2 linked regions of the Drosophila melanogaster genome follow. The protein of the gene in region 1 interacts with the protein of each later gene in a pairwise test. Each region holds a gene or a part of one and is shown in the gene's direction. Other genes may lie near its edges.

Evidence for each region.
Region 2: the proteins of SoxN (region 1) and CG10565 interact in a two-hybrid assay, tested with the Drosophila melanogaster proteins (one large-scale study listed by BioGRID).

Annotation. Positions count from the first base shown.
Region 1 is NT_033779.5:8,823,921-8,830,367, forward strand, and holds SoxN (SoxNeuro), read left to right. Parts: upstream 1-1,724; 5' UTR 1,725-2,573; coding exon 2,574-4,292; coding exon of another isoform or gene 4,293-4,859; 3' UTR 4,860-5,750; downstream 5,751-6,447.
Region 2 is NT_037436.4:21,132,750-21,138,265, reverse strand, and holds CG10565 (uncharacterized protein), read left to right. Parts: upstream 1-1,912; 5' UTR 1,913-2,388; coding exon 2,389-2,648; intron 2,649-2,756; coding exon 2,757-2,902; intron 2,903-3,360; coding exon 3,361-4,895; 3' UTR 4,896-5,016; downstream 5,017-5,516. Other genes in the region: Ac78C (adenylyl cyclase 78C), read left to right, coding at 9-412, 472-700, 763-908, 1,046-1,159; ICA69 (islet cell autoantigen 69 kDa), read right to left, coding at 5,104-5,516.

The DNA of each region.
Region 1 (6,447 bases):
AACTTTTTGCGGTTAAGATTTGCGTTCTTGTTGTTTTTGATGTTATGATGTTGCGTTGTTGTAGGTCAGTTACTGGGGCAGGTTTTGCATTGTTTGCCGGTCTTGCCTTTATTATTGTGCCCGCTTGCCCCAGTGTTTTCGCTCCATTGTCAAATGTTTAGCAATTGGCCATAAATTCATTAAGCCGACGAGCCCACATATCGGCTTTGTTTGCATTATACATTTTTAATGGGTTAGTAGCTCGATTCAAGTGTTTGATGACTTTGCAGGAAATTTGGAGACGATGCTTAAGGAGTTGTACAAAAGAAATTTTGATTGTGCTTTAAAGGGAGAAAATGTATATATATTATTTATCGAGGAAATGCAGTTTTTCATATAATTTGTATTTTATTTATTCAAGAACAAAAATGGTCTTCTATATTATTCGTAGTTTACGGATGCAAAAGTATGTTTTATTTTAGCCACAATGGTATTTTTTTTATTTAACACACAATTTATAATTAATATAACTTTTAGAAAAGCCCATAAATCTTGGTTTTGCTCTTCGAGTGTGCAAAAAATCTTCAATTAATCGACTTCCACCTGCACTGCAAGTTGGTGAGTAGTTCTCACCAGCTGAGAACTGCAATCCAATCACTTTGCACTGCTAAAAGTCGCACAAAAAAAAAGAGCCCAACATTTACTCATGGGCAACCCAAAAAACGGAATACCAGAGTCAGCTGAGGAAAAACGCATTCATCGCGGGGTGGTAAATTAAAGGGGGGTGTCGTGGTGGGGCAGATGGTGCCCTAAGACAATGCCGTAGGACGGGCTGGCTCATGTGGCGGATACGTGATACGTGTAAGCCAAACCGCATCAAAGTTCTGAGATACAACTGCCGACTACCGCGAGAGCAGGATACATTTGCAGCTGCACTTGCTTAATAAATTTTTCCATCTGCCGACTGCCTGCCTACACAATTATTCGTGAGCTACCTTGGCAAACCCATTAGGTTAATAAGAAGCGCAGCGTAAGACGCAGAGTGACTATACATACATATATATATATATATATCTATATTATATATCTTTTTGTATGTACATATAGCAGGGCCAAAAAAAAAAATAAAAAAGGAAACCAGGAAAAACTATGCGCGTGAGACGCGCTCTAACGGCGAAAACGCCGCAAACACTAAGGCCCCTGGGTCCCTGGATCCCTGGACTGGGTTGAGAGTACCCATGGCCCGCTCCAGCTCCCCCCGTCCATAGCGTTTCGGCCATGTTTAAAGCTCGAAATTTATACGAGAAATTCCTTCAGAGTCTCTTTCGGCAGCGGAAAAGCGGCAACAGCGCTTGCCATAAACGCAGAGACGACATTTTTATGGCAGCGTTGAGCGCAACGCGGATCGATATAGTGACGGAACGAGATAAAGATACATTCGTACCGCTCTCACCGTCCTCTGATTGGCGGAGCAGTGTGCGCAAAATCCAACCCAGCCAGCGCTCACCGCACACAGATGCACACATGCACAGCAGCGAGTTTATTTGATTTATTAGCAGGCCAGCCACTCGTATATTCATCTCGCTCCCGCACAGGCGACGGGCAATGGAAATGCCGACGCACACTTGGACAGCAGCGACGCACACACAGCTACTCGCGACTCAAGACCAGTTTTTCCAGCCACCCTGTCTGGCGGACCGCACCGCATTTACCGCCTCCTCGAGCGGCCAGCGGCAGACGGTCTCTCATTCGACTCTCGCATTCGCCGTCGTCAGCACACGCGCACGCAACGTACCGCACGGCAGTCGCAGCACGCCATCAGCAGCAACATCACGCAGCAACATCAACTCGGTTGTTCGCTGTCTCGAATTCGGTTTCGTGTCGTATCGTATCCGTATCGTTTCGCATCGCATCGCATCGGTGGTTCTGGTTCGTGCCTCGTCATCAGCTAGCCAAAAAGCGGTGATACGAAAGAAAGAAAAAAAAGTCATCATACAGCCAGGGAAAAAGCAGCGTAGAACGCACCTCGAACAGGTTTCGCCGTCGTCCGGAGAAACAGAAAGGTGCTCAATTCCGCCCAGTGTGGAGGTATTTTTTCGGTGTTCCCGCTTCTCGCATACGAAAAAAAAAAACAACAACCAAACCAAACCAAATATATTTACAACAAAATCTAATACAAACAACAACAATATTCTGAGGCAATTTCGCGTCGGGTTTTAGCAACAATTTTCAAGTGTTTTACGCCGCCTCTTGTTTGTTTGCTAGCAAACAACATATATGTATATCTGATATTTGTGACTGTGGAAAAAACGCAATTCAAGCTGTTTAGCTACAAATCCAAAGATAGCCGAGCGCCACATTTTTGATACGCGTAAAGATACGAAAAACTACGAAATAAAAACTGCAGCGAAAATCAAAATCTCAAAAATCACAAGTGCAACATGGTTTCCCAAAAAATGTTCAAAATGTCTAACTAAGCAAAGAGTAAACTAAAGCTAAAGAGTAACTGCATCTTAGAGGCGAGTATCCACGGAGAACCAACTTTGAGTCAAATCAGCTTTATCGCACCGAAAACTGGAAGTAATCCCCGCAAGATGCTGACCATGGAATCGGATATGAAAGGCAGCCTGCTGCATGCCACCATGCCGCCGCATCACACAAGTGCCGCGTTGCACGGACATGCGGCATCGCCGTACTCCGCCCTAGCTCCCCTTATGAACCTGGGCCAGTCGCACCTGACCCACTCGCAGCTGAGCCATCACAACCACCATCATCACCACATGAGCGCCCATATCGCGGCCAGCCAGAGTCCCAATCCGCTGAGCTCGCTGCAGTCCTCGATGGCGAACACCCTCAATGGCAGCCAGGTGGGGCAGCAGCAGCAGCAACAGCAGCAGCAGCAGAGCTCCCCGCTGCACAGCTCCAGCGAATTGAGTCCCACCCAGAGCAGCATCGGAAGCCATCACATGACATCGCCGGTCAGCCACCAGCAGCACACGCAACAGCAGCAGCACGGGCAGCAGCAGCATCTGGGCGCGGGATCTGCATTGAGCAGCCTAACTGGAGGATCCAGCAACAACAACAACAACAGCGCCACGGCCAACAAGAACCAACAGCACGCGGATCGTGTGAAGCGGCCTATGAATGCGTTCATGGTTTGGTCACGGGGCCAGCGGAGGAAGATGGCCTCGGACAACCCCAAGATGCACAACTCGGAGATCTCGAAGCGACTGGGCGCCCAGTGGAAGGACCTCTCGGAATCGGAGAAGCGACCGTTCATCGACGAGGCCAAGCGCCTGAGGGCGGTGCACATGAAGGAGCATCCGGACTACAAGTACCGGCCGCGCCGCAAGACTAAAACGCTGACCAAGACCAAGGAGAAGTACCCAATGGGCGGCCTGATGCCCGGACAGACGGTGGGCGGCGGAGCACCGGGTGAGCCGGTGACGCCCACGCGGGTGCAAGGTCAGCCTGGCCAGAACCAGTCGCTAAACGGTAGTGGAGGCAGTGCAGCAGCGGCAGCGGCGGCGGCAGCAGCGGCAGCGCAACAGGCGCGCCAGGATATGTACCAGATGAACGCGCCCAATGGATACATGCCCAATGGCTACATGATGCACGCAGATCCGGCCGGAGCGGCAGCCTATCAGACCTCCTACATGGGCCAGCACTACGCGGCGCAGCGGTACGACATGGGACACATGTACAACAACGGGTATGCGATGTACCAGACGGTGTCCGGCGGACAGACATCGCCGTACGGCAGCAGTCTCCAGCAGCCCGGATCACCGTCGCCGTATGGCGGCAGTAGCTTGCAGCAGCAGCCCGGCAGTCCGACTCCGTACGGCGGAGGTGGAGGCGGTGGCGGTCAGGTTTCCTGCCAGAGCCACAGCCCCAGCGACTCGAGCATCAAGTCCGAACCGGTGTCGCCCAGTCCCAGTGCCATAGCGCTCAACAACAACAACAACATCAACAACAATCACATCATGAAGCGGGAATACAGCTCTGCAGCGGCGGCAGCAGCAGCAGCAGCAGCGGCAGCAGCCGCCGGCGGCGGCGAGCTGAATCACCTGATGAATATGTACCATCTGCCGGATGAGCAGCGCCACCTGCTGCACTATCAGACTGACTCGCCCGATCTGCAGCAGCAGCACCAGTCGATGCAACAGCAGCAGCAGCACCTCCCGCAGCAACACCTTTCGCAGCAGCACCAACAGATCCCGCAGCAACACCATACCATGCAGCAGCAGCAGCAGCAACACCACCTGCAGCATCAGCAATCGCTGAGGGCGATGGCGCCGCTGGCACACATGTGAGAAATGGCCAGCGCCTATGGAGCAGCAGGCTCCAGTGTGAGCGTTTCGCCTCCACTGCCGCCGTACATGCCGACGGCCCCGCAGCAACAGCAGCAGCAGCAACAACAGCAGCAACAGTTGCTCAACGGACGGCCTAGTCCGACGGCATCGGGGTCGTCGGGCGGCCGCTCCTCGGCGCATTCCAGTGGCCATACCGCCGCGCATTCACCCGCCTTGGCAGCCGCCTACCAGCTGACCCCCTCCGCTGCCACCTCCTCCGCCACTTCGGCTGCTGCTGCGGCGGCAACTGCTGCTGCCGTTGCTGCTGCTGCGGCTGCAGGCAGCTCCTTTGCCGCCTCGGCCAGCATGCTGGACATGCAACAGCAGCATCTCGAGGAGCAGCAGCAGCACCACCACCTGCACTACCAGCAGCAGCAACAGCAACACTACCAGCAGCAGCAGCAGCAACAGCAGCAGCTGCAGCACCTCCCGCAGCAGCAGCAACACCAGCTGTACCATCACTATCATCCTGGCCACGAGGCAGCGGTGGCTGCCAGTGCTGGCCTCCTGGATATATCCACATTGTAAATTATTGAAAATATTAACTAAAGCCCTAGGATACGCACACCCACGCCCACAACCACAGCCACACACACACAGACACAATTTTAGCCTTAGTTCTTAAGCAGGTTTAATTCGAATTTCGAAGTGGCAGAGTAACACATGCGCATATAAATAAATGAGAATAGGATTAATGTTTAGTCATTTAAATGATGCATACGCACTGTTGTACCACAATAGTAAGATGACAACTCACTTGCATTCCATACCGTTCTGCTTCGATTTCCCTTGATTTCCCGCTTGTTGCATAGCTAAAACAATTGTGTGATACAAATAAACTGTTGCCAATTACGGGGACAACGGCAACAACAACAAATTCGTTTGGTTTAGCATTTCATTTCCACTCACCTTTTGCTGTACAAAACATTCTCAGACATTAAATGTGCGTTCAATTGAAGGGAGCAACGGGACGCGGAATCAAGCACAAGTTTAGTAGGAGTAAAGGCAGTTGTGGCGAGGCGATGAAAATATTTCAGAAAAGCAAAGAAAAATGTCAAAAAACATTCTATTTTATAAATTCTCTTATGCATTAAGTAATTATAATTATTATCTATTATATAAACAATTTAATTATTAATTATGCTTACAAATACCAGACAAGACAACCATAATTAATTGTAATAAAGCGAAAACAAAATTATTATTATTATTAAAACATAAATCGAATCGAAGGCAAGCATCTACTGCATAATACAAACACAACCAGAGAAAATGTTAGTAAACCTAAAGCAAATTTAGTAAAAACAAACCAAGAAGCAGCGTGCAAACGTGATTGTGAAACATGGCGCAAGGCAGCGAAAACAAACAAATCCAACAAAACATTGCCAAGCACCTGGAAATAATAAAAACAAAATCCACAAAAAATCCACGAAAAAAAAACAAATAAAAGAAAAATCTTTACAAAAACATCTCGCTACATTTTTACTATTTGCCGTCGGCAAAATGGGAGGATCCGTGAATTTTGCATACCGAATCGATATGCAGGTTCAGCAATGTGTCAGATGGCTTAAATTCCAGTTTGGATTTTATAGCTCCCCCCATTTTTAAGTGGGATGCGTAATTCCTTAGACAAAAGCGATTAGAGTAGTAAAAATCAAATGAAATTCACGCATTGTCAACATAAATAAAAATGTCATTAAACAAACCCTGACAAATTAGAACAAAACATGAGATGAGATTCCCATAAAAATGGTATGCCATCTACATTTATAAAATCCAGCCATGGCAATTATTTGGGAACTTCATGTGAATCGCATGCTGCAATCTGGCATTTCAATATTTATTTAAGTGCATTTTGTCAATGAGTAACTGCAATTTTCGTGACCGGAAGGCGACGCTTTGTAGCCAACACCGTCCAAACTAATTCCACCGATCATGCATCAAGGTTGAAATACAATTATTAGGAATTTTGATAATGCGATATATATCATATGCCATATTTTCAGAGCCGCTCACCAGACCCAGATTGTCCAATCACTCGGCTGTCGCGACGGTGAATGGGCCTACAAAACCCGATAATATCCACTTAATATGGCTAATTTATGCTGGCCAAACC
Region 2 (5,516 bases), on another chromosome or scaffold:
CAAACCAGGTGACTTTGATGAATTGCTGGAGGAGCCACGATTCGCATCGGTGGAGAAAATCAAAACAGTGGGTGCCACGTATATGGCGGCAGCGGGATTAAATCACGAGCATCTCAGACTTCGCGGCGAGACCTCCGAGGATAGTGTCTGCGACCTGGTGGAGTTCGCATTTGCCATGAAGCAAAAGCTGGAGGAGATCAATGGGGATGCCTTCAATAACTTCCAGCTGCGTGTGGGCATCTGCAGTGGTCCTTTGGTAAGTGGAGTGATTGGAGCCAGGAAACCGGTCTACGATATCTGGGGCAATACGGTCAATGTGGCATCACGAATGGACTCCACGGGCGAGAACTGGCGAGTTCAGGTTCCGGAGAATACGGCGGAATTGCTTTGCTCCAGGGGTTACACGTGTGTGGTAAGTGGGTCTTTTGTTACCTATCCCGAATTCTTATACGTTTTTTCAAAATCCCACAGAAACGTGGTGAAATCGCTGTGAAGGGCAAGGGCATGATGACCACCTTTTATGTGCATCCCAAGGGAATATCGGAGAGCCAGCTGATCTCACCGGTTCGCATGCCAGCCGGGATTCCCCTGGCCCAAACCCCGAATCTTCAGCGGCAGACCTCCCATCATGGATCCTTCAGTGCCGTGGTTTTCGGAATGCTTCAGGCTAGCAAACGCAGCACAGCCATTGCCGGAACACGTAAGTGTTCCTTTCGGGTAACTTAAAATTCTTATAACATTAATTTGATTCTAATGCTTAAGCCACGGGCACTCCTTCGCCGCAAATCCGTCGAGGACATCGGGGAAGCACGTTCAGCTCGGTCCGGTTATCCCAAAAGTCCACCACGGTCAATCCTGTGCGCCGGAATACAACCCGTGTTCGGGGACGTTCATATCGACAGAAAAAGGTACAATACGTAGTGTTTCAAAAATTATTATATATCAAATAGTATTTAAGTTGTTCATATGATTCTGTTTAATTAGAAAGAGTATTTTCTAGAACCTATCTTATATAATGATATATTTTTCCTATTCAATATTTTAGAGTTCCTCCAACAACTCGATCGTCACGCAGGCCAGCTCTAGCTATATGCCCTCGTTCCGACGGATCGACCAGATCGAGACGACGATATCGAAGAGCCACAACGATGCGTTATAGCCGAGTACGCGCACTCACTGGGTCTAAGTCGATCTCAAGGCGATAGAGTGTCTGATGAATTTATTTTTGGAACGATTTTATACAAATGGAGTTACGCCGGCATATGTTTCAAAGTTTGGCTTAACACTGAAATGAAATGGTGGAGAACGACACTGAAGCTACTTAGTAGAATTTTTAAATCACCATACTTGAAGTTGCAAGAATTACATTTATCTCAGCACAATTCTAGTCGTTAAACTTAAGAACTGTCGTTTATATGTGTGCGTTTCAAATCTGTTTAGAGTAAGATATTTGGATCTTCCCACAAAAGCCAACCATACGAAATGCCAATGAACCTACTAGCTTCGTTCAATTCAACCATAATGTGTACCAACTAGTTTTCTAGTACTAATAGTCAATTTAACAGCCAGTAATCAATTAGAAAACCAAATATTAGTTGTACAAACCGTTTCTTTTGATCAAAGAGCGGAAATGTAAATAAAGTAAGCATACTTATGTATAAAATATTTTACGACCATCTAAATGTAATGAGGTCAAGTGTTACTGAAATGTGAAATGGATTTTGGCAAATAAAAGGTGTATTACTATACAGCCAGCACTTATTTAGCACTTTAATTGTAATTATACAATTCGTTATAAATAAATGTGATAAGCAAAACTAACAAATGGTAGAACTTAATGGTTTTTGGAATATACGTCAAGTTATCATTCAAATGAATTATAAACAGTCGTTTTCTTAACTATTGTATGACACTTTCTTTTTTTAGTGGCCCATTATAACAAAAACTCGAATGTGGAATGTATTTAATAGTGTAGGATTTGTTATGTAATGAACGTGGATTAATAATTTGTTAAGACGGTTAACTAAATATATAAATCATAAATAACCATTAGTTGAGATACGGTCACACTTTGGCGCCAAACCAATACAACAGTTGCCATTCGATTTTAGCTATAGCAGCTGGCAGCACTGCCAATAAGTGCCAGCGATACATGCTTGCTGTTATCGATCAAATATAGAGTAGGAAGCCAATCGATTTTACCAGCGCCATAATCGATGATGGCATCGATGTTTCACCACCACTAGTCGAAACACATGCGGTGCTGCGGAAAAGTGTGATTATTAATTGGATTTCGACGTTTTGAAGGCAGCGGATCGCCAAATTTTGAGTAACGTGAATCCACAGGAGTGGCGGTGAATGCCCATTAACCAGCGGACCTGACCAGAGATGACGAGCGGTACGGTAGCAACGGCGGTGGAGGTGCAGCTGCCGCTCAAGGTCGTTCGCCGTAAAATCGAGCGCGTTGGCTTCGCTTACTTTGCGCAACGGCGCCAATTTCTAGCTCCCGGCGGCGTGGAGCGCAGCGAAAGCGATGAGAAATTGGAGGGCGTGGGCGAGGAGGTGGACATCAGCTACCTAAAGTCGCTGGATCCTAAGGAGTGGAAGGACCAGGATCATTACGCCGTTCTTGGCTTGGGCAAGCTCCGGTTAGTGCGACGGCAGCACGTGGTGTTCTTCCCATGTGTTCGTTTCTATCAATATTTAATGGGACTTCCCCAACTAATACTGTATTGTCTGACTAAATCACCCTTTAGATACGAGGCCAGCGAGGATGATGTTCGACGGGCTTACAGGCGCATGGTTCTGCTGCACCATCCCGATAAGCGGAAAGCCAAGGGCGAGGAAGTCATCCAGGACGATGATTACTTCACATGCATAACCAAAGCTTACGAGATACTGGGTGGGTGTCAAGAAAATGTCCTTGCTGATCCTTGGGTGTCCTTCGGACTTCGCATTGCCCATGCAAATCGACAGATAAGAATATTTTGATATTAATTTTCAGAGCATTTGCTTAAGCTATATAAAATTATGATACCATACAATCCTGTTGAGTATAATAATCAATTAAGATTTTAAATTATCTGAAACTAATTTATACTCGATCTAATTCATTGGTGTGCTGTTGCCTTTGTCTAAGCGCGCAGAACTTGAAGCTTTATTTTTGCATATCTAAAAATAGGACTAGTTGTTTGCTCTCACATTCTTTTAAACAAAATGCCAAATTATAACTTACTATTATACAACAGAATTTTTTTGGCTTTAAACACTTTGAATAATTGTAAACAATTGTACGAAATAGACAGGAAGATTTTAAACTATTTCCTCTTAAACCATCTAATACTCCATCTTGTATTCCAGGCACATCCAAGCCGCGCCGCAGCTTTGACTCAGTGGATCCCGAGTTTGACGACTCGCTGCCCTCACAGAACGACATCGATAACGACTACTTTGGCGTATTTAACAAATTTTTCACACTTAACGGGCGCTGGAGCGAAAAGCCGCATGTTCCCTCCTTCGGGCAGGTGGACGCCAAACGCGAAGAGGTGGAGCGCTTCTACAACTTCTGGTACGATTTTAAGTCATGGCGGGAATTCAGCTACTTGGACGAAGAGGACAAGGAGAAGGGCCAGGACCGCGACGAACGTCGCTGGATCGAAAAGGAGAACAGGGCGGCTCGAATCAAGCGCAAGAAGGAGGAAATGTCTCGTATCCGGTCGCTCGTCGATTTAGCCTACAACAATGATAAGCGCATTCAGCGCTTCAAGCAGGAGGAAAAGGATCGCAAGGCTGCTGCCAAGCGAGCCAAGATGGACGCCGCCCAGGCCCAGAAGGCAGAAGCTGATCGTGCCATCCGTGAAGCGGCTTTGGCCAAGGAGAAGGCTGAAAAGGCCGAGCAGAAACGCATCGAGCAGATCCGCATCGAACGCGAGCAGCAGAAAAAGCTGCTTAAGAAGGAGCGCAAAACGCTGCGCGACAAGGTCAAGGACTGCAAGTATTATGCCAAGAACGACAAGGATCAGCTGAAGCACATGGAGGGCACCGAGAAGATTTGCGAGACCTTCAATCTGGCAGAGCTGCAAGCTCTAAATAAGGCAATGGAAAGCAAGGGCCGTGAGTCGTTTGTTGCTGCCCTTCAAACGGCCGAGCAGAAGATAGCTGCCGAGTTGGAGGAGATTAACCAGACACAGGCCAAGAAGCTTGCCAGCTCAGCGGCCACGCCAAAAGGCGTTAAGGAGGTCAAGAAGAATGAGCTCTGGAGCAATGAGAACGTGCAGTTGCTTATCAAGGCGGTTAATCTGTTTCCCGCTGGCACTGCACAGCGTTGGGATGTCATAGCCACTTTCATTAACCAGCATAGCCCGGATAACACTGTTCTGGTCAATGCCAGGGATGTGCTCAACAAAGCCAAGGCGCTCCAGAACACAGATCACTCGAAGAGCTCCCTGAAGACTCAAGCCAACGATGCGGCATTTGCCAGTTTCGAGAAGTCCAAGAAAGATGTTCAGACGTGTAAGGATATAACCCTGGGCGAGGAGACGGCCCAGGCGAGCAAGGAGAACTTGAAACAAAACGGTGTAGATCATAAGGCGAACAATCAGTCAACCAAGCAGAATGGCACGGCTCCAGCTCCAGCAAACCCCACGGCTGCACCAGCCCCAGTTCCGGCCACAAATGGGTCTACGGGCGGCGGTGCTGCCTCCAAAACCTGGACCAAGGAGGAGCAAGCCCTGCTCGAACAGGCCATTAAAACCTATCCAACGACGACACCCGATCGCTGGGATTGCATCGCCGCCTGCATACCGAATCGCAGTAAAAAGGACTGCTTACGTCGCGTCAAAGAGCTGGTCGAGCTGGTTAACTCCAAGAAGGAGGCACAGGCGGCGGTCAAATGAGTGCGGCTCCTGCTCCACTTTACCTGCCTCTCGTCCGCCTCATCCACTTCTAGCTGCTGTGTCCCATATAAATTTTATTTAAATAAAACATAAAAAGTTTTTGAACGTTTAGCGAAAAGTTACATCCAAAGATTCTCCATTTTGACTAGCTAGTTTCCAACGGTATATGCAGATCAACAAATATAATCTGTGCGGGAGGGTAATCTGCTCAGGTCTGCTCGGCCACACTGCGTCCGCCGCTCAGTTTTAAATCGAAGGCTTGCGGATTGGCTAAGGGATCCAAGTCGGCGAAAAGATCCAGCCAGGGATTGTTGGTGGTCTGCGATTTGCTGGGAACCGGGGTGGCGCCACCTGCACTTGCCTTCGAGTCCGTGGCTACTTGGCTCGGTATGGGTTGCTGATTCTGCTGGCTAAACAAGCGGGACCATAGCTTGTTAGTGCTATTTTGGGCAGGTATATCTTCATCCAGCGGCGCATCTATTAGAGGACTGTCCTCCAGCTGCTTGGAAAGCTCAATAAGCAAGGATTCATTGTCGCCGCAGGCATTGGGAGGTGCACTTGGTTTGTCCTCTTCGGACTCCTTGATTTCCGGCTGGGTTTCCAGCTTGTCCTGGTACTCGT